Xenopus tropicalis: one gene and its partner. The protein of the gene in region 1 interacts with the protein of each later gene in a pairwise test. Links are inferred from orthologs where the notes say so. Each region holds a gene or a part of one and is shown in the gene's direction. Other genes may lie near its edges. The genes, in order: ruvbl2 and dpcd.

Region 1 (4,550 bases):
CGCAGGAAGAATAGTTAAATGACAACTAAACCTAAAATTGCTAGAATGTGGCAGCCACACCTTCTCTAATCTCTGGCCTCCTTTCCCAGGCTGGTGCTCCATTCTATTTAATGTAAAGCACCTTGTTGCTGCCTCCCTGCTTTCTTCTAGGTACCACTGAGGCTGTAGGTTAGTGACTGGTATCATGGCTGTCATGGTCGGACTGGGCTGTGAGACACTGGGGAAAAAAACCCGGGGGGCCCCGCCGACCCAGACCCGATACCTGTAAGTGCTGCTGCAACCCTGCTGCCTTTCCTCTATGTTTGTGGCTAAGTAAATGTAGGTGAGTGTAGTGGGGGCCCCGGGCACCCAGCCCAACACTGCTAACAATATGGCACCCCACCACAAATGTATGTGTATTTTTCCTCTTTACAGCAAACATTTGTATTTCATTGGTTGCCATAGGTTACTTCATCAGGACAGTTTTGCTCTATGTTAGTCAACATATAGTGCCCAGGGAGAGGCAGCAGGAACCTGACCAGGCCAAATGGGGTATAGGGGGCACTGCATATAAAAGAGTAACCCAGATCTACACACTAGCTCCAGAGAAACAGCCTATAACAGATATGAGATACTTTTCCTGTGGCTATGCATAGGTTCAGGTTTGTAGTTACATGGCGTAAGATTTCATTCCTTTATCATTATTGGAAAGTGAAAAAGAGCTCTTGTTTCTATGCAGTATATTCAGGCCTCTTAGTGCAGCCAGCCTCACCAGAACTGAAACATTTACTCCATAGCATTCTGCTCAGTTGACTGCAAAAAGCTGAACTATGGTTGCCATGGGGTTCTGCATCACCGTAGGGCATGCATCTGTTTGTAAATTCCCCCCTCTGTGAAATGTGTTGGTGTGTATGGCCACTTTTATATGGAGCAGTAGTGTTGGTTCATGGTAAGCAAATTAATTACTCTATAGTTGAATGCAATGTAGACCAAAGATGCTTTCCTCCAGCCTTTCCATCATCCTTGGATATAGCCATGCAGTAGCTAGGGGGGTTGCTTGTGGTGTAGTGGCAGAGGTATGCTGAATATTCTGGGCCTCTGGGGATGAATTATTTAACACGGTGTTAGTCTCAGTAGCTTTGTTTTGCTTGTTCCTGGATAGACAGTCTGCCAGTTTAGCCCATCTTTTTTTGTATGACCAAAAAAAAAAAAAAAACAGCTTCCTGGTTACGAATTGTCCAGAATAAGGCAGATTTTTAGTGCAAATGTTAGTAAATCCTTTCAATTAGATAAACTGCTCACCTGCTTGAGCTGTTATTTCACATCATACTCCCTGTCAGATGGCTTGTGTTGCCTGGTGTGACAGGGGTGTATGTAGTTGCTCTTGAGTACTATAAGAGTAAAATGACTCCAGTTCCATGAATTACCCGTGTGTTTTGGGTATCCTATAGCAGGACAGTTTGCCTTGGTTCTTACCATCCCGTATCCTATTGTTGGAGAATTTGCTTTGCAAACAACCTTGATTTGTTACTAGGAAACCGTTTGTTAACGGGGAAGATCCTTAGGGCAGACTGTTAGGATGGTAATGACAGGCATAGGCCGAGGCAGTTTGCAGTTGTTCTTATATAAAGGTAGGGCTAAATGGGCATGAGGTGGACAAAAAACAATGTTCAGCTCACAACATGCAGGGGTGGGGCAAATACATTTGGAATTCTCAAGAGGTAATCTCACATTCTGTAGAAAACATTGGTGAATCTTTATAAGCCAATGTCTCCTGCATTTATTTTGCTGCTGAGTTGTAATTAGTATTTCATGCATTGATGTCTAAAGGAAACCGTGATCAATATTCATGGTTATTTATGTCTCATAGACAACCAAGGTGCCAGAGGTGCGAGATGTCACCCGGATTGAGAGGATTGGTGAGTGTAAAAATACTACAAAAATAAACACAAAAATAACCTGCTAAACATGATGTGGTTCCCATGTAGCCCTCCTATTCAAATAACTGAATATTTTAGAACTCATGTATTCACCTCCATTGCATCGTGACACTTTTTGTTTCCATGGGCAGCAGTGCAGTTTAATCAACAAACAGTCTCCTTGGTGATAAATAGCTACAGAGGGTTGTAACTTTGCTGCAATCCCAGGCATTAGCATCACAAAGTTCCATCACTATTTTCATTTACTTTCAAGCCAAATGTGTTTAATTTTATTTATCTAATTGCAACAACAATTTTAAACGCGCATTATACACCCCTTTTCAAAAATTTTGAGTGCTGAGCATAATTTTTTGCCTGTTTAAAGTAAGAAATATGTTGCTAATAAGGAATGCCCACAGTGCCTTTTTTCCTACACTTTGGTCAAGCTGTTGGCTCTGTGCCAGATTATTTTGATAACATATATATATACTATATATGATAAAATAAAACATATATATTGCTTAACAAATATCCAAATAATAAAATATTTCAAGGAAACAATTTGTACATGTAATTGCAAATGAAAGCAGTGTCTGTTTATGTTTTTCTCTAACTCGCTTAAGACAATATATATTCACCTCCATATCCATTAAATCAAACAGCGGCTTCCAAGCCAAAATTAGTTAAAGAGCCCCACACAACACAGAAACCCCTAATATACCTATCCCTGTAATCTGTTCCATTAAAAAGTATGAATAAATACCATTTTATATGCTGAAATCCAGCTGTAAAACATTTATTTTTCTGCATTTGGCATCCTAGCATTAGCACGTGTAACAGTGCATATTAATTGTATGAGGTAGTCTGGGTATGTATAGATTAATACAAAAGATATCCAACACATTAAAATTAGTCTGTGTTTTGTGTTTCCTACCTATTAACTGCTTATTTTTGTGTATATAGTCTAACATTTGTCTCTCTTTGCCAGGCGCACATTCTCACATCAGAGGGCTTGGCCTTGACGATGCGTTGGAACCCCGTCAGGTACTGAAAGCGCTCTAATACTATAATATGAATGGTTATGAATTTTTGCTTATAATGACACTGGTTAGCGTTAGACAAGCAAGTGGCAGATTGGATACGTGTCGATCTGTCCTTCCTTCTAAAAGTAAATTTAACATCATATGTGCAGGGAATTGTGGGATTTGGAGTATGCTGGCTGAAGGCAGGCTTGTCAGCCAGATCAGCAGGAGAACAGGGGGCAGGGCTAAGGGAACTGTTCTAAACCATATTACATACAGTGGTGTGAAAAACTATTTGCCCCCTTCCTGATTTCTTATTCTTTTGCATGTTTGTCACGCTTAAATGTTTCTGCTCATCAAAAACCGTTAACTATTAGTCAAAGATAACACAAGTAAACACAAAATGCAGTTTTTAAATGAGGGTTTTTATTATTTAGGGAGAAAAAAAATCCAAACCTACATGGCCCTGTGTGAAAAAGTAATTGCCCCCTGAACCTAATAACTGGTTGGGCCACCCTTAGCAGCAATAACTGCAATCAAGCGTTTGCGATAACTTGCAACGAGTCTTTTACAGCGCTCTGGAGGAATTTTGGCCCACTCATCTTTGCAGAATTGTTGTAATTCAGCTTTATTTGAGGGTTTTCTAGCATGAACCGCCTTTTTAAGGTCATGCCACAACATCTCAATAGGATTCAGGTCAGGACTTTGACTAGGCCACTCCAAAGTCTTCATTTTGTTTTTCTTCAGCCATTCAGAGGTGGATTTGCTGGTGTGTTTTGGGTCATTGTCCTGCTGCAGCACCCAAGATCGCTTCAGCTTGAGTTGAAGAACAGATGGCCGGACATTCTCCTTCAGGATTTTTTGGTAGACAGTAGAATTCATGGTTCCATCTATCACAGCAAGCCTTCCAGGTCCTGAAGCAGCAAAACAACCCCAGACCATCACACTACCACCACCATATTTTACTGTTGGTATGATGTTCTTTTTCTGAAATGCTGTGTTACTTTTACGCCAGATGTAACGGGACACGCACCTTCCAAAAAGTTCAACTTTTGTCTCGTCGGTCCACAAGGTATTTTCCCAAAAGTCTTGGCAATCATTGAGATGTTTTTTAGCAAAATTGAGACGAGCCATAATGTTCTTTTTGCTTAAAAGTGGTTTGCGCCTTGGAAATCTGCCATGCAGGCCGTTTTTGCCCAGTCTCTTTCTTATGGTGGAGTCGTGAACACTGACCTTAATTGAGGCAAGTGAGGCCTGCAGTTCTTTAGATGTTGTCCTGGGGTCTTTTGTGGCCTCTCGGATGAGTTGTCTCTGCGCTCTTGGGGTAATTTTGGTCGGCCGGCCACTCCTGGGAAGGTTCACCACTGTTCCATGTTTTTGCCATTTGTGGATAATGGCTCTCACTGTGGTTCGCTGGAGTCCCAAAGCTTTAGAAATGGCTTTATAACCTTTACCAGACTGATAGATCTCAATTACTTTTGTTCTCATTTGTTCCTGAATTTCTTTGGATCTTGGCATGATGTCTAGCTTTTGAGGTGCTTTTAGTCTACTTCTCTGTGTCAGGTAGCTCCTATTTAAGTGATTTCTTGATCTAAACAGGTGTGGCAGTAATCAGGCCTGGGGGTGACTA
Region 2 (4,462 bases), about 83 Mb from region 1:
ACGAAAGTCATAATGGCTATGAAAAAGTCGCGACAATTCACGAAAGTCATAATGGCTATGAAAAAGTCACGACAATTCACGAAAGTCATAATGGCTATGAAAAAGTTGCGACAATTCACAAAAGTCATAATGGCTATGAAAAAGACGCGACAATTCACGAAATTTGTAATGGCTATAATAAAGTCGCGACAATTCGCGCAAGTCATAACGGTTACGAAAAAGTCGCGACAATTTACGAAAAAAATCACAAAAAATACGAAAAAGTCGCAAAATGTTAGTTTTCCAATCCGAATTTTTCTCATTCGGATTCGTGGATTAGTAAATCAGCCCCTATATGTGGCTTTAACTCGCAGACTGGGGTTACCTGATGATGGGATTTCCAGCCAAAACTATCAACCCGGGCAGAGTCATTAAGAAAGGACTGTGTTTCTATGTAGCATCTGCCTGATGGGAGTTTCCTGCCAGAAATATCATTACCTGGCCAAACCCTGAGTAGATACAGGTAGGGAGATCATCGCTTTTGCCCTGTGCATCGGCCATTAGGCTGCAGACTGCCAAGAGAGGCAGAGTTGGCTTACAATATCAACCCACATATGGCCAGCTTACTGGCAATGGCACAGAGAGACTGGCAGTGGGGAGGCAGTAAAACTCACAATTGCCCTCTACTTTTTTTTATGGTATCGTCTGGACTGGTGATTACTGTTAACCCCAATGGGAGGCATTTCTTGACCTCCCATTGACCAATAAAGTCAATGGAGCTTTTTCCACCAAAGGGAATCTCCCCATTGCCCTCAGAGTCAGTGGGCTTATATATAGGAACCAGTGGCTAGGGTTACCACAAAATGAACCCAGGGCTGCTAAATCAATCTTTTCGTCCTTCTAGTAAAATTGGCATTATTCCCCCACCCTACCCTACCCCACCCCACCCCACCCCAAGCAATAAACAGTAGCAAATAATATAAGTACACTTAATAACAGACCATTGTGATTGCCTAATGTTCTGCTATACAAACAGCTACACTAAGGAAGGTAATCAATACTTTCTCTTATGGAACCCAAACCCTAAGTAACAGTACGGTTTAATGTGTGATTATGTGTTATTTTCTTTCCCCAGCAGCTCTCCAGCCATCTCGGAGGGAGATGTAGTTCCACGATTCTATATATCACTGCTATAGATCACTGCGCCCAAATAGTTACATGGAAAATACACACACAGCGCCCCAAACAGAGAAACAAACAGTAACTTATCGCTTTGTCCCCCCCTCACATTCACTTACTAGAGTTCAACACCACATCTATAAACATACACGGACATTTAATTAGGTCACTTCCGTATCCGGATGACTCGGAAGTGGTCACCGGAGTCCATTGCTTAATGAGCCCGATAATAAGAGAATATATAATATCCCGTTACAGCAGTAGCTTTGTAGAGACGTTTTATATTTTGGGATAGGTATGTTGATAGGTTTTGTGTACACGTTACAAGGCAGTCCGCTGCGTTACTATGGCAACTCAGGTCGGTTTGCCTAAGAGGCCGGCAAGCTTTGGGTTGCTATAGTAACTCGGCCCCGCGTGTGACAGGTTCCAAGATGGCGCTTCCAAGCTGGCTGGAGAGTCTGAAGGCTGCGCAGAAAACGTGCATTTTACAGGATGGTGAGTGTTCTTGTGGGAACGCAGTCACATCGGCTTGGGCTTTAATGCTGTGAGAAAGATATAGAGCTAACGTTAACCATATTCATTCATTCAACCTCCTCAATAACCAAATCCCATGCTTTATTTGTATAGCGCCTACACAGATTATATTCAATACACTGCCCTGGTGGAGTTTAAAATCTTAGGCCATAAACATGTAAACTATGTCCAGCCAGTAGCCTGGTAAAGCTGAACAAACTCGCAGGGGAACTGCTGAACTGATAACTGAGGATACATAAGCAGAAATTCAGGAGGGCTGTGATTGGCTATTTGGTAGCCCCTATGTGGGCTGGCAGCCAAGAGAAGGCTCTGTGTGGCTTTACACTGGGTTTTTATGCAACCAAAACTTGCCTCCAAGTCAATAATTCAAAAATAAGCCCCTGCTTTGAGGCCACTGGGAGTAACACCCATGTTGCTCACAGGACACTGGCTGGGGATAAGGTTTTAGACCAAATTGTTAGGTTCTGTCAGTTAATAGTCCCATAACCAAAGATGATTTACAACAGGACCTGCAGGTTTAGTTCAATAAAGGACAACTAATCCCATGCATAATAACAAGCATATAACAAACAAGTCTCATATTTGATCTCCCCCCAATCAAATCCTTCTATTCTTACCTAGGGGCTTAATGTCTCATTTTTTTTTTTTAGTTTAGGGCGAGGTCACACAAAGCGCATACCCACTTCTCTCAATCCTGCGTTTTTTCGGCCAGGCTGAGAGAAGCGGATCTGCTTTCTTGTGCTTCTCTGTGTGCCTGCATTAAAGGTTATGGCAACTGCCTGAGTGTGGGCACACGGGAAAAAAACCCAAAAGCATAGGGAAGCAGATCTGCTTCTCTCAGCCTGTTTGAAAAACGTAGGGTTGAGAGAAGGATATATACACTTAGGGGCTGATTTACTAACCCACGAATCCGACCCGAATTGGAAAAGTTCCGACTTGAAAACGAACATTTTGCGACTTTTTCCTATGTTTTGCGATTTTTTCGGATTCTGTACGAATTTTTCGTTACCAATACGATTTTTGCGTAAAAACGCGAGTTTTCCGTATCCATTACGAAAGTTGCGTAAAAAGTTGCGCATTTTGCGTAGCGTTAAAACTTACGCGAAAAGTTGCGCATTTTTCGTAGCGTTAAAACTTAACGCTACGAAAAATGCGCAACTTTTCGCGTAAGTTTTAACGCTACGCAAAAATCGCAAAATACCGATCATTACGAAAAAAACGCAATCGGACTCCATTCGACCCGTTCGTGGGTAAGTAAATCAGCCCCTAAGTGTGACCTCGCCCATAGGTAGATAAGTGTGTATCCAGAGTTTATGTGTATGTGTGCAACTCCCATATGTGTGTGTGTGTCACCTTTGCCTGTGGTCACAAGGCAATGTAAGAGCTTATGGAAGAATGTAAATGCCAGCCACAGCACAGTGAGAGTGGGTGCTAGGAAGTGTTACCAGCCACAGCACAGTGAGAGTGGGTGCTAGGAAGTGTTACCAGCCACAGCACAGTGAGGGTGGGTGCTAGGAAGTGTTACCAGCCACAGCACAGTGAGAGTGGGTGTTAGGAACTGTTTGTATATATATATGCTCAGTTACAGTATATACACACACACACACACACACACAGGTATGGGATCTATTATCCAGAAACCTTGCAGAAAGCTAAGTTATGGGAAGGCCATTTTCTATAGTGTCCATTTTAATCAAATAATTCTCATTTTTAAAATTCTTTTTATTTTTTCTGTAATAAAAAACAGTACCTTAACTGTCTTGCTGGGTTTAATTAATTGGTAGTAGACTTTAAGAATGGTGAAAAAAATAAATTATTGGGAAAACCCCAGGTCCCAAGCATTCAGGATTATAGATTCTATACTTAGTGGTGCAACTATAAAGGAAACACAAACTGCGGTCACAGGGGGCCTGGACCACGGGGTTTGGTTCCTCTATAGCTCTATAAAATTGAGTTGGCAGCTGGGGAGAGGGGGGTATTGAGTTGGCGGCTGGGGAGAGGGGGGTATTGAGTTGGCGGCTGGGGAGAGGGGGGTATTGAGTTGGCGGCTGGGGAGAGGCTGATAGAGGTTGCAGTGCGCACCAGGCCCCAAATCTGACAGGCTGTTGGCCTGTGACAACCAGTGCCACTTTGCCCATAGGCAAGCTATTAACAACTCATATTGTCATGAAAGCAGAGTCTAAGTATAGTTAACCAGAAATGAAGAATGAAGTCTGTTATTTTTCCATCCCAGAGTATCACTATGTAAATGTGAGATCTGAGCATACTCGCAATCTGGCCAGAGTATGGGCATAAGCACAAGTGCCATCACCAAGGCATCCCATAAATAGGCATCCCCATTCCACCATCAATGTGGCCCACACACAGCCATCGTTGTTTTGAGCTGCAACATTAGTGGTGGCATCAACCCCTCCATACTGTCCCCTGTGACAATGGGCAAGTTTGCACTAGTGCAGAAACTAAAGGCAACCAGTAACATTCTAGTACTTCATGCAGATGTGTGAACAAACCTGCTGGTTGCCGTGGGTTACTGCCCAGTTGCAGATTTTAAAAATAAGAACTTTGGCTTCATCAATATGCGTAATGTAAATTCAATATTTATGCACACTTTGAGTTCTCTGGGCTGTCTTAGACCTGTCCTAGACCTATTGAAGCTACTGATTCATGTGGCTGGTAAGTGTGCATCTGTACTTAAATAAATACATTTCTGTGGCACTGCTACACTTGTTTGCTTGTGTCTGGCTGCTGCCAGCTAAGCATGCTTAGGGAA

What was found.
Region 2: the proteins of ruvbl2 (region 1) and dpcd interact in binary tests that used the Homo sapiens proteins (3 or more experiments, as listed by UniProt). The two-hybrid records come from large-scale screens. The link is inferred for Xenopus tropicalis from reciprocal best matches to the Homo sapiens genes RUVBL2 and DPCD.

Annotation. Positions count from the first base shown.
Region 1 is NC_030683.2:113,416,983-113,421,532, reverse strand, and holds the start of ruvbl2 (ruvB-like 2), read left to right. Parts: upstream 1-1,653; 5' UTR 1,654-1,849; coding exon of another isoform or gene 1,850-1,898; intron 1,899-2,886; coding exon of another isoform or gene 2,887-2,942; intron 2,943-4,550. UniProt on the Homo sapiens protein: Possesses single-stranded DNA-stimulated ATPase and ATP-dependent DNA helicase (5' to 3') activity; hexamerization is thought to be critical for ATP hydrolysis and adjacent subunits in the ring-like structure contribute to the ATPase activity.
Region 2 is NC_030683.2:30,780,192-30,784,653, forward strand, and holds the start of dpcd (protein DPCD), read left to right. Parts: upstream 1-1,386; 5' UTR 1,387-1,589; coding exon 1,590-1,653; intron 1,654-4,462. UniProt on the Homo sapiens protein: May play a role in the formation or function of ciliated cells.